Drosophila melanogaster: one gene and its partners. The protein of the gene in region 1 interacts with the protein of each later gene in a pairwise test. Each region holds a gene or a part of one and is shown in the gene's direction. Other genes may lie near its edges. The genes, in order: CG11248, CG5062 and gpp.

What was found.
Region 2: the proteins of CG11248 (region 1) and CG5062 interact in a two-hybrid assay, tested with the Drosophila melanogaster proteins (one large-scale study listed by BioGRID).
Region 3: the proteins of CG11248 (region 1) and gpp interact in a two-hybrid assay, tested with the Drosophila melanogaster proteins (one large-scale study listed by BioGRID).

What each region holds. Positions count from the first base shown.
Region 1 is NT_037436.4:21,678,294-21,682,735, forward strand, and holds the start of CG11248 (uncharacterized protein), read left to right. Parts: upstream 1-1,756; 5' UTR 1,757-1,859; exon of another isoform or gene 1,860-1,939; intron 1,940-2,006; 5' UTR 2,007-2,013; coding exon 2,014-4,140; intron 4,141-4,201; coding exon 4,202-4,330; intron 4,331-4,386; coding exon 4,387-4,442. Other genes in the region: Als2 (amyotrophic lateral sclerosis 2), read right to left, coding at 1-1,205.
Region 2 is NC_004354.4:5,180,184-5,184,625, reverse strand, and holds the start of CG5062 (uncharacterized protein), read left to right. Parts: upstream 1-2,256; 5' UTR 2,257-2,445; coding exon 2,446-3,042; intron 3,043-3,106; coding exon 3,107-4,255; 3' UTR 4,256-4,442.
Region 3 is NT_033777.3:6,404,187-6,408,628, forward strand, and holds the start of gpp (grappa), read left to right. Parts: upstream 1-2,670; 5' UTR 2,671-2,905; exon of another isoform or gene 2,906-3,291; 5' UTR 3,292-3,588; intron 3,589-4,442. UniProt on the Drosophila melanogaster protein: Histone methyltransferase. Methylates 'Lys-79' of histone H3. Required for Polycomb Group (PcG) and trithorax Group (trxG) maintenance of expression. Also involved in telomeric silencing but do not in centric heterochromatin.

The sequences.
Region 1 (4,442 bases):
AGTTGTCTGGGCCACGCTGCTCCCAACTGAAGCTGGAGAAGCGTCTGCGCGTATGTGCTGGACTGCTGCAGATGTCGCATTGGAGGCGCAGGTTGAAGGGAATGTATTTGACCCGAGGCATTGAGCAGTAGTGTATGGTAGTCGCCGCAAGTCGCCTCAAGCGCCGAGTTTTGTTCTATGGGTAGTGCTGCCGTGTTTTCCGTAATTGTGATCTCCATGGGCGAGCTGACATCTTCACCCAACTGAGAGTGGTTGTTCAGGCCCCAGTGGTAGAGCCTTCCGTCCAGAGTGCGGGCCACCGTGTGCTCTAATCCAGCTGCAATGCTGCACACGCCCATGCTGTCTAGTTTCTGCAAGCGCATCACATTGGCCCTCCGGATATGATCCCCACTGCCCAGGAGACCATTATTGGAGGCTCCGAATGTGAAAAGTTGGGTGTGGAGCAGAGCGTATCCTTGGTGAAGAAGGTGCCTTGTGTTAGCCGCAACGCTGCGCTCCGAGTGGCCACTGCTTATGGATTTTACAGAGGCCCGTTCATCCTCGGGTTCTTCCTTCGCACTGGCCACCGACAGCTGGAGTGCATCGTCGGCCAGGTTGTAGGGAGCTACTAACATCACAAAGTGCTCGTTTCCGGCTGCTAAGTCCAACAGTTCCTTGCCCTCTTCGTAAAGGCGCATGTGCCGAGGCTGTTGTTCTGCCTTGAAGACTTCGCCGCAGCTGCCCATGACATAGGTCTCCCCACTAGCGCCGACGAAGACAACGCCCTGGGCGGAGCAGCAAACCCGTCGGATGCGTACGCCCTCAGCATGCAATTCGAGAGGGTCGAAACCGAGGGTTTGCCACGCATGTGGATGACCCACATCCCGGCCAGATCCCGTGGCTTGGCGCTGCACAGAGCCATTGGTGAGGACTACGAATAGTTCCTGACTGCCGGAGCAGAAGTCCATATCCACAACATCGGTACGCAGGAGTTGAAGATCCATGTGTTCGCGGTTGGCCTGCAGCTTGGCGGAGTAGAGGGCGTGGTCAGTGGTCAGAAGGAGCAGTTCCCCGCCGGCATTGCTGCAAATCCGGGATGCGGGAAACCGCTGCAGGGGCGGCAATCCGCGCCAGTGAAGCTGTAGCTCCCTGCCTTCATGATAGATGGTGAAGGACTCCCGCTCCTCCTGACCCCCAAGTGCCGAGTCATCCGCTGCACTGGCCATGATGTGCAAATTTTTGTTGGGGTTTTGGACAGGGCCAAAGCTTTGTAACACGACGCAATTGCTCGATTTGTCTGCAGGTCGTTCTCACATCGTGCACGTGCTCCGGTCCACGCTAGGCACTACTGGCACCAACGAACATCATATAACTTGATTCGGAATGCAACTCTAGCTGCCACGATAAAATAAATTCTGTTTTCACTTGTTCTTAACTGGCTAATAAGAATTCATGTTTTTGTGATGGTTTTTTGGATTAGTGTGACCAGCGCTATCGAGTCCCAATGAGAATTTATTAAGTAAGGGTGTTCGGGTAAAAGTGACGTTCTAAAATTGGGCTTATCACTATTTATTTGGTCCATGCAAATTGTTGTTTTATAACCAATTTTGAAAACACACATAATACCTTATACGTAAACTCAATATTGTAGTTAGCTAGAACTCTTATATAAATTTAAATAACTCCTTAGTTGCATTCGCCATAATCATGGAACCAGTCAACACAAAAAAGTTATTTTGGTATTTTTTTGCGATACATCAATTTGTTTTAATATGGTCATATTGTTTTTGCCATCAGCTGTTCGACTCAAAAGTTTTTGCATGTTTTGTTTATTTCGCTTAAAATGTAGTTTTATCGTTAATTAGGAAAAGTTACCCACGGTAAAAAAAAACAACCGTCAACAATTGTTCAGAAACATCAACTAGTACGACTCAGTGGACACCTCCGTGTGGTACTGCTGGTTTGCATACGCCCACAAAAGTTGTTTTAAGCCACAAACTCACCCTCCTAAAATAAAATTTTTTCAGCTCGGTTATGGATTTGGACTGCGAGGGCGCTACAGCTTTGGCTGACGACTCAGGGCACTTTAGCTGCACTAGCGATGATGGAGTAGGAGATCCTGCTCAGAAACCGGCGCCGCAGCCTGAACCGGACCAATCGATTTTTCTGGTGCGGCAAGAGCTGCTTCGGACGCGCAGTGAGGTGCAAAGGCTCTTAAAATCGGAGCAGTGGTACAAGCAGGAGCTTAAGTCCCAGAAGCACAGCAGGCTACAGACGCTAGAACGATTGTACGCACAGGAACGGAAGTATTTGATGGAGAACCAGAAGCTGCAGCAAGAATCGATCCGCCTGCACACACAATGCGCCACTCTGGAGAAGCAGCAGGAGCAGGGCTCACCATTTTCCCCTGGCTCATCGCCGTTTAAAGCAGACTCGGAGTCACACGACTCCTCTTTTGAGGCCAAACAGCAGGAGGCGCGCCTACGGGATCAGCGTCAGTTGATCGACGTGCTCCGAAGGCAAAAGAAGATGCTTCTGGACGACATCCAGAGGATCAGTCTGGAACACGATGAAAAACTTTCGCAGTTGCAGCAAACTGTTGTCGGCATGGAGCTGGAGAGCAAGCACGTGACTGGAAAATGCAAGCAACTACTTGACCTTAAAAGTCAAATGGAGCACCAGCTAGAGCTAAGAAGCACTACCCTACGCAGTGTCACCGCGGAGCGTGATCAGCTGCGCCAAGTCATTGCTGAGCTTAACGAGACGCTGCAAACGCAGGAGCATCTGTTAGCGCTAAAGGAACAGGAGTTCCTGGATTTGAAACAGTACTACCAACAAAAGCTGAAACGGGAGAGTAGCATGGAAATTATGCACTCTTATAGCATGAAATTTCACGAAGAGATCAACAGAAAAACGAGTGAAATTGCCAGCCTTAAGAATTCTCTTAACGAGCTTCAGGCCGAGCTGATGCTGATGTCTCACATGAAAGAGCAATGCGAGGAACAGCAGCGTCAGCTTGAGCAACTGGAGTTCGCATTGCAGGCACAACTTTTGGAGGAGACTCAACTTCGGCAAAGCAATGCTCTAAAACTGGAGCAGGTGGAAAATTTAACAATTTCTTTGGCTTCGTTACAACTAGATAAGGAAGGCTTAAAAGAAAATTTAGGTGAGGCGCAAAAGACCTTGAAAAATCTACAGCAGAAGGTGGACATTCTTCAAAAACAGTATGCCGAAATGTGCTCCTTGTGTCAAAAGACTAAACAGCAATTGGAACTGGAGAAAATCGAGATTGCCAAAATGAAGCAAAACGGTTCCTTAAAGGAAAGTGAGCTAATGGAGAAACTCAAAGATTATGCAGCGCAGTGTGATGAGCTGAGAAAAGCGTTGGCCGAAGCAGAGTCCCGTATCGATGTCCAAATCAAAAAGACAGAGGGCTGGCAAGTGCAGTTGAAACACAACCAAGCGACCCAAACGGACCTCGAAGATCCGATTTTAGTTCAACGCATTGAGACTTTGGAACAACAACTAGCGGATGTCAGGAGCCAAAAATTGCACACAGTTTCGCTGCTCCAAATACTGCTTCAACAGCAAGAAGCTAAAATCAAGAGCACTAACGAAATGGAAGCAGACTGGCAACAACTGTTAGATGCTCTGCAAGCTACTCAAAGCTTGGAGCAGGAAATGCGATCAGAACTACAGCATAAGACGGTTGAATTGGAGCACCTGAATGAATTGTTCGCTGGACAAAATGATGAACTGCAAAAGCTCCAGAAATTGAGCCAAGCGCAGGACGAGGAAAATCGACTAGAGTTACAGCTTTTGAAGAAAACATTCCAAGAGAATCTGAAGATAAACTCCGCTGCGTCGATTAACATGCAAAGGCTGCAAGGCCAGGTAAAGTCTTTGCTAGATGAGAAGGAGGAAATTGCGCGAGAAGAACGCAAAGCAGTAGAGTGTTTGCGATCTCTTGGTCACGTTCTTGAGATGGAAACAGGAAGGAGGCTACCACATATAAAAAGCTGGCCTCAGTTGGCCAAAATTCTTCGAAAGGAACTGCGAAATGGGAGGGTTAACAATCGAAAGGCTGAAGAGCTTCCTGGGCTTAAAATGAAGCTGGCGGAGATCAGCGGAAGGCATCAGCAAGCTTTGTCAAAAATTAAGGTATGTTATGTCTTACTCCCTTAAAGTAACTCTTTGTAACACAATTAATTGCTTTTTACAGTGTCTGGAGCACACTTTGGTAATGGAGCGAGCGCGGTTTGAGGCCTCGGACTCGGGCAAATCGACGGCTAGCAACACGCCCCAGGAACCCGCCCATGAAGTGGCTAATCTTATTGATGACTACAAGAAGGTAAGTATGTTCCCCTCCGATTGGCTTCTCTTGACATTTCCTTAATTGATTTACAGCTCGTTCAGCAAACCGCCAATGAAACATGTCGCCCTCGCAACAGCTTCATATTCGA
Region 2 (4,442 bases), on another chromosome or scaffold:
CACGTTGACCAACGGATGTCCTGCTGCCTGATGGCATTACAGTTAATTAAAGGTGAACCGATGGCCACAGAGTCCTGCCATCCAGCACAGTGGGTTCAAGAGTCCAGTAAATTGGATTTAATTTCAATATATGTATATTGTGACACTATTTGTACAGCCATTTTTCGGATATTGATGTGTACCGTTGGTTGCAAATAACTTTTGGACTGCAATCTTGCCACCCTAAAAGGTAGTTGTGGATAGGGAGTGATTTTTAATGACTTTCACGATTAAATGCCCAAGGAATCATTTTCAGTGGACCGGAAATTATCCCATGGTGACTGTGCGCATGTGAGCGGAGGTCCACTGTGTGTGTGTTGTGCTGCTGCTGCTGCAGCTGCGTGTGTGTGTTAGTGTGTGTGAGGGCCATGGCAAACTGGAAACTTTGCAAATGAATGGCAAGGCATTGGAAATAATGAGCCGTATTTACATTTCAAAGCGCTCGCACAGAGCGAGAGCTGTAAAAGTTTTTAGCCTCCCCAACGGACTACGGGTCAAAATCAGTTACGGAACTCTGAAATGAAGAAGGATTGCGAGAAAAGAGGAATAAACCCACGGAGGCTGTTGTTGTAGTAGTTGTAGTAGTAGTTGTAGTAGCATTGCACACGCACACGCACACGCACACAGATGAAGCCGGGTAAATCTCCTCCAGAGTTGTGTGGGGAGTAAATTGCGAAAGCTTTCGGTGGCAGGATTGCATACAATTTGTTTTATGGCCATGGCGTGCACATTAAACGCGCACTTAATCACACGCAATGGGCGTGGTCGGTGGATCGTCCCACCGCCCACCATCGTCGTCGTCGTCTACGGCGACAAATCAAATTGATTTCGCTTTTCTGGCTGGCTTGCCCGCTGCCCTTGCCCAAAAATTTGTACGCCCCCTTTTTTTTTTTTGCCCCTTTTGTTGTGTTGTTTTGCGCCTTATTAAATCACTTTTATTGCCATTGAAATGTGAGAAAAGTTTTACGGAGACGATGCCCCCCCTTGTCGTATATATTATAGTACGTAATATGATTTTTAGCTGCTTGCCAAAAAAAAAAAATAATTCATATTTATGGCAAAAACTTCACGCTCAGCGCGATGTGAGAAACATCGGTGTTATTGATGTCTGGCGAACAGGAGTGTATTTCGGGCGGAACCCATGCAGTCAGAGGTGGTCGCTGTTGGTTGTCCATAGTGAAGGCAACCATTTGCCCCACGGCCACCACACCATCTCATCGGAATCTCGAGTATTTGGTATTGGGTGTCGAGTAGCGTAGTAGATGGAGATGTCTCTTTGTGCGCCCAACAACACAAGCGCCACACAAATAGACAAGACAAACACTATGGGCTGGATATTGAGTTTCGGTTTCGAATTCTCTTCCAGCATTCGTCATATGACGACTAAAATGGAATTTGGTCAGTATCGAGTGCACAAAAGACTCCGGCTAGTTAAGTTATACATATACCAAAATACCGTAAAATAAGCATAACTTGAGCAAAAATAATCATTTTCGAGCACTTTCGAGCAGCAAGTGACATGCGGTATTATAGCCCTGCTTAAAAGCCAGCTTGTTGAACTATATATATTCCTCCATTATCCTTTTTTTTCTCTCACCAGCCTAATCTACGGGCAACAGCGAGATTTTCACAAAAAAAATATATAAAAAAAATAAACCAGCGACCCCTATATTCAGGCACTGCGTTTCAGCGAGGCGTGTAATTAAATTTTCATGCCACCTACCTGGTGGCTGGATTTCGAAGGGAGAGTAGGCGGTGGGGCAAGCGGGCCATGGGCGTGGCACTTACATACAAAGAATGCAAATTGTCGGGGCTATTCCAAAATGCAAGCATCAACGCCTTCGAATGCAACCAAAGCAGGCGGAAGTAAATGCAGCAGCGGCGGCAGCCTTTCCCTTTTTCCCCCAACTAGCTTTCCATATATCCTCGCCCCCCCCCCCCCCCCTTCACTTATCCTCTAGTTTTTCCTTCTCACCTGCCACTCGACAAAAAACGACACTCAAGTGGTCAGGTGTGAACAAGTGTAGAAGCAGCGTACACGAGCATGTTTAATTTTGGGATACTCAAATGTATAACCGACCTATTAAAGGAACTCTATGATTCAAAAAGTACCTGTGAGCCTACATTCCCAGCAAATACCCTGTAATTGTAATGCTATACCCAGCAAGCTTTGAATTCATGTAGATTTAACCTGCCAGATTCGATTGGATAAACAAACGAAATATACGAAACAAGCAAACAAAACAAGAGCCTCCGAGCAAATAACACAAACAGACACGCCAACAAACCGAACAAAGGAACAAACTCAATAGCTAAGCGAGAAATCTGCTATTGCGTTTTACCCCACACCCCTCTGGCCATTTGCAATTTCAAACGCGATATACATATAGAATAGAATTCGTCAAGATGCCAATGGTGATGCCATGTCGTTCGCGAGCTGCGATGAAACTGCACCCGGATTGCTATGATCGACTTAAGAAGCCGATTTATCTGGAAACGCCACCATTATCGACCGTCGAAGAGGAGCCACTATGTGGCGTACGCCGTGATAGACCCGTAAAGCCAAAGGTTCAGAGGCGACCATTACCGCCCGGCACACGTCTACCGAATCCAGTAGCCGTGCCTGGACAGAAGATCACACGTTCGGCGGTGGGTGGCGGTAAGGCGCCACCGCGAGCCCGAAAATACGACGGTGCCAAGGCCACGTTCTTTCACATCAAGGGTCAATCATGGGAATCCAAGGGCTATGCGGAGCTCTCACAGTGCGAACTGGATCGCATGCGGGCATCGAGGCCGCGTACCACCGAGGAGCGTCGCGCGGAACAGGATCGCCGGATGGAGGAGCAGCAATATCATACAGCCGAAGCGGAACGTATGCGTAACTATTTCCACGACATTGATGAGCAGCGCAGGGAGAAGGAGCGCGAGGCCCAGAAGAGGGACGATGACGAGGCCGATGAGGATGTCAACGAGGATCGGCGTGCGGAGGCCAAACGATTGCAGGTAGTTTTTTGGTTTATGGTTCTTAGCCATATTTCCGAAAGTATATCTCCACCACCCATTGTAGGTACTACACCGCGCCTTGGATGCCAAATACGAGTCAGATGTGCGAGTTAAGGATGCCACGCGTGCGATATCCGAGGCCAAATGCAGTGCCATGTGGACGGCTCAGATACAGGAAAGGAAGCTACTCAATCGCATTCAACTCGATCATGACGAGGAGATGGCTCGCAAGAATCGCGACTACAACAATGCCAAATGGGGCACGGTGGAGCAGCAAGATCAGGCCGAAGAGGAGAGGCGCCGGCAATTTGGCAACGCAGTGCGTGAACAAATCACTGATCGCGAAAAGTTACGTTTCCTGGCCCAGGATCGTCTGCGATTGGAGGCGCGAGACTTGCGTGCCGCCGTCGATGAGTATAAAAAGGCTGAATTGGCAGAGGGCGAGATGAAATCGCGCCGTAAGCTGGCCTATCGGGATGAATTGAATAAGTATACGAAATTGCATCGCAATTTCGTACGGATGATGTGCGAACAGGATCAAAGAGATGAGAACAGGGCCTACGAGTATCTAAAGCTCAAGGAGCAGCAATTGAAACAACAGCGAGCGGAACGCGAAGCCATCGCGGCGGATGAGAAACGCAAACGGGATGTTCTCTTTGCAGTCGGCCAAAAGATTCTCGATGCTAAGGATAATCGCGAGGAGATGCATTTCCTGGCGGAACACGAACGCCTCGAACGAAAGTACAGAGAAAACGAACGTAAGGCAGCCGAAAAGGAACGCAAAATGGCCGCCGAACTCAAGCGTGCCAATATGGAGCAAATGGAGCATCTTAGCCAAATGAAGGCCTGCTTCTATGTGCAACGTGAACGCGAACTAAAGGAGATGATCGAGTATCGAAAGAAGCACGAGGAGCAAATGAAGCGCGAGGCCGAGGAGCAGGCCATCAAAAAGGCCTGTCTGCGCTCCAGTGTCTCGTGCCAAATCGAAGAACGGGAGAAGGCTCGTCGCCGCGAACTGGAGGAGGAACACTTGGCCTTCGAAAGGGAGCGGGCAGCTGAGGCGCAGCGGCAAAAGGAAATCGATACGGTGATCACAGTCAAACTGGATGATCTACAAAAGCGCGGATGTCTGCCCAATTTGGCGGTGCAATCGCTAAAGGGTCGTGTCGCCAATGCTGGCAACAAAAAGAAGCTGGGCGCTGAATTCACTTAGATAGTTATATTTTCTAAAAATCCATCCATAGACAGACAGCATCAAACACGCGCACACACTCACTCCCACACACACACACACACACACACACAGACACACACATGAACTCAAGTTGACAATGGCATAGATGATGACTTTTCGAGCTTGGCGGAATTAAAACTTGCAGCACATATAAAATGTACATAAT
Region 3 (4,442 bases), on another chromosome or scaffold:
TGCGATCCCACAGAATCATAAATAAAATCATCAGTTGTCACAGGCCAAAAGAGATTAGTCGAGGGAGCGGGGGGAGGAGGCTGATCTGCACACGAAATTAAATAAATAATATAAACACTGTGCCAGAAATAGCTGACAAGCAAACGAGACCAGCGACCAAGAAAGCTACACTGAACAAAAGTGGAATTTACATTATCCACATTATATCACACAATAACTTTCAGTAAGTAATTTAAGATATTCCAGCTTTATTGATTTAAAACTTTATTAAATTCCACAAGCCCTATACTTTTCGTTCTGTGTAGAGATAGCCTCGCTATAAATGCCTATTCTTTTCATTTTCCGTCCGCTTACATTTATCATGCCCGCTGAATTTAATTCAATTGCTGACAAAAACGTGTTGTTGTGGATTCAACCGTGCCTGTCTCCGAACAACAACAACAAATGCAACCAACTATGATGACAACAAACAGGAAGATGAGCCCATAGAAAGCCAACTTGCCCAAGACGATCTCACACACAAGTGTGCAGCTAAGTGAATTGATCAACGGGCGCATTGGAGGAGGGGGAAGTGTGATTGTTGCCAAGCCACAAGACGCATTCCCTGCTATTATGTACTGAATTGAAGTCGCTATTAACGTTAATTGTGTCATGCATTTGTCGATGGGGCGGGGGGAGTCGGTGGCTTTAACAAATGGTAATCAAAGTGCAATGACAGGGAAAGTCAGCGATTTTGAGGCGCGAATTCAACTGGCGAGGTGATATGACAGCAGAGGCCAAACTGGTTCTGTTTAAGTAATTACCAAAGTAAAATATTTCTTAATAACTTTATTCTTTCTCAGATGTTTGTAGCTGAAATGAACAAAGGCTCCCTACAGACATACATATGTACGTACATATATATTGGATTCACTTTTATCTGCTGACCAGCTTTTATTTAAACCCATTTCGGTTCACAACAGATATTAATGCCTTGTGGGGCGAGCCAAAAATGAGGTTCTTGAGGCCCGAAAAAGTTTGGATCAATGTTTTTTCCGCATAAAAAATAAGCAGGCAGGCCAACACACACGCACACACACGTTCGTGGGTCGCAGGTACGTGCGGGCGTGTGGTTGTGAGTGTGTTGGCCTGGTTGAGAGTACACTTAAATAAACAATTCTGAACCAAAAACAATATTCGGCACGCACTCACCTTTGCAACAACAGTTATGAAGGTGCAGCAGCCACCCGCTCTCTCGCTGACCGCTTTGCACGCTCTCTGCCTCGCGCTCTCTTCTCGCTTTTTGGCTGCTGCAGCGCTTGATTTTTATGCACACATCAATTTTCAAACTGCGACGCCCTTTTTTCCGATTTTCTCTCTCACCTATAAAACAACAACTGCCGCACTCAGCACACACACGCACACACTCTGTTAACAACAATTTGGCTCTTCACTTTTTGTGTATTAGATTTTCCTCTTTGATTTTCCTTTCGCTCTGCGCACCTCGTGAAAAATACTGTTACTCGGCTGGACAATCAGCGATACTTGTTGTAAAGCAGCGGACGTCGCTTCTTACATTTAATTGGCTGCCCTTTCGACTTGTCTGCGCTGCCAGTTGCTGCACTTTACTTTTGTTTGACTTGACGCCTCCGTCTGCTCTTCGCCTTCGTCTTCGTTCCGCTTTATCCGACACACGACCAACCGCCGCTAAAAATCAACACAAAGTAAGTGTGGTCGACGCCTTCTTGACGAAGAAAACCAGAGTCCGAAAGTGTCAGCAGCTGGTCACACCGCCAAACGGTCCCGCTGGCTTGGAACCGTGCTGCCAGACCGTTTTCATATTTTCATATTGATATTATAATATTGATATTGATAATATAAATATTTTATTCATAGCAATCAAGCTATCATCCATAGTACACATCAGCTTTATCAGTTCTTTTTTATCTTGGTTTGATATTTTCGATGCATTTTGTTTACAACCTAAACAAATTTTTATTTCCATTGATACCACGGAAATAATTTGAAATTTAGAACTTAAAAATAAAAGGAAAAATAACTTGTAAGTTGGAATAAATAAAGCACGGTCTTTAAAGCAAGAAAGTGTTAAATATATATATTTCAATTTGAGTCTATGATTAACGCTAATTTATGCTTATGGGTCCACTTTCGATCACGAGTTGTTCACACTAATGGATACAATCGCGGAATGGGCACACTGAATATTGTTTAGCGGACAGTGGACCAAAGCCAATTCGAATCAATGGAATATCCTGATATCAGGCATATGTTAAAACTAAGTAACGGAATGGTCAATGCGTAAATTGCTTTCGTATGTGTGTTTATTTTACGCCCTTACGTCGCTAATTTCTGAATTAAATAGCTCAAAAATATTCATATGTATCATGTAAAAATTTAAAAAATCTGCAAATAGATTGCATGTATCCCGTTAAAGATAGTAAGAAGTCCAGAAAAGAGAAATGCATTCAGCGATCAATTTTGCATGGACTTACCAATGTCTTCCACAATTTTATGCTTTTATTTTTTAATCGCTTTGAATTATTTCTCAAGTAACGCAATTTTGAGAAAAATCACACCATTAAATCGTGGTGAACAATCGAATATTCGATTCCATTTTAGCGTTAGGCATTTTTCCGCCACCCGTTAGGGATTCTCCGTTTCCCTTTTGTGTTTTTGTTTCTTTCTTTCGCTGGAACATAACGGACGTGTCGTTGCGTCGTCTTCCTCGTCGCGCGCGTGTGTGTGTGGTGTATGTGTGTACTGAAACATTTTGGGGTCGTAGCAAATCGGAGAAAAATTCTTAATTATACAATACAATACTCGTGCTTGTTCTCGCAGCGAATCGAAGTGATCCAATTGTGAGATTTGGCTGCAAAGGAAGAATACGAAAAGTTAGCTAAATTACGTGAGTAGCCAGAGTGTGAGTGTGTGAGCCAGAGCGAGGCGGCAAATCAGTATGGCGTGAAAGAGCTGCAAAATGTAATTTGCTGTGAATACCTCTGTGTGTTCGTGCCTGTGTTTAGTGTGCATGTGTGCTAAAACAAATGCCTAAATTGCAACAAAGAAAATTGTATGAAATATACGAAGCGAAGAGCAGAGCGAAAGCGACGATGAAAAAGAGGCTGCTGCTTGAAAAATAAGAAGAGGTGGAGGAGCAAGAAGAAGAGCAGCAGCAGCCGTCGCGAGTTTTTTACACGCGTGTGTTAGTGTGCATACAATTGTGTATGAAAAAGAATAAAAGCTAATCTAAAGTGTCAAACGTAATCTTGTATATCTCCGTGTTTCTTGCAGCGCTTGACAACGAAATTTATATTACATAGTAAATGCGAAATACAACAAAGGTTAATCATATTGCTTAATCAGAGTACTGCGGTTTCAAACGTCTTCGTCTTCCCCATCTTCTAAACTGGAATGCAACCAACACCAAACAACCAAAACCCACAACAACAACAACAAGATCGAATGGAGTAAAACAGAAACCAAGAACCTTTAAAGAGAGCAGTGAGAGAGAGGCGTCGGCTAACGGCTAATCAATTGACAAAGCGCAAAGAGAGAGGGAGAAGAAGCAGAGCGCTGAGTGCGCGAAATGTGAGTAATATATTTTAAACCGAACGCGAAATAAGAACTTAAATCAGCGAAGAACTCTTCTGAAAATGTGTAATATTAACGGCGGTGTGTTCACTGGTCCTACTGTTTGCCTCTCCGATAAGAGCGGAAGTGTAATATTATACTCAGACGTTGTGAAAAGTCAAACGTATTTATTTATCGGTTTCCCATGTGCCGGATACTCCGCAATCTGGGCCAGTTAATTATAACGTGTGGGAAGACAGTGGGCGCTCGCCCTTAGACAAGTGTCATATAAGGGCTATAAATTTAAAGTGGATATTTTATAAGCAGTCGTTTGACAACTATGTTTATTTGCTTCAAGCTCACAAGTATTAAACGCAGTGTTTAGAACAGATTTTGCAGATTTTAAACAACGTAAAAATTTTTTTGACACGGTCACAACGTAACTTTGTGTCAAATTAATAAATATAAGATCTTAGTTTGTCAGAATGTTGTAAACATTGTTGTTTTTAAATGATTAAACTGGTTAAAAATGATTTCTCATTTTGTCTACTAATATGATTAGTAACAAGGTTTTCAACTAAAATGCTCATGTACTGACTGAATTATGATGAGAAATGGGTTGCTAATGAATAAACATTGCCATTTAAATAGTCATGCGAGTTCCAACAGGGCTCACTAATTTACCAGTGATTTCTGTGATTTTGGTTACGTCCATAAAAAGTTTTAAATGCTGTCAGTGGTAGCAAACACAATCCAATTAAAGGAACATGCAAGACCCGAAAATAGGAAAAGTGCCAAAAGCTAAGTTAGAGGGGTTTTTTCTTGTTGATTACAGGCAAAAGGATCGAAAACCAAAAACCAATTATTAACAA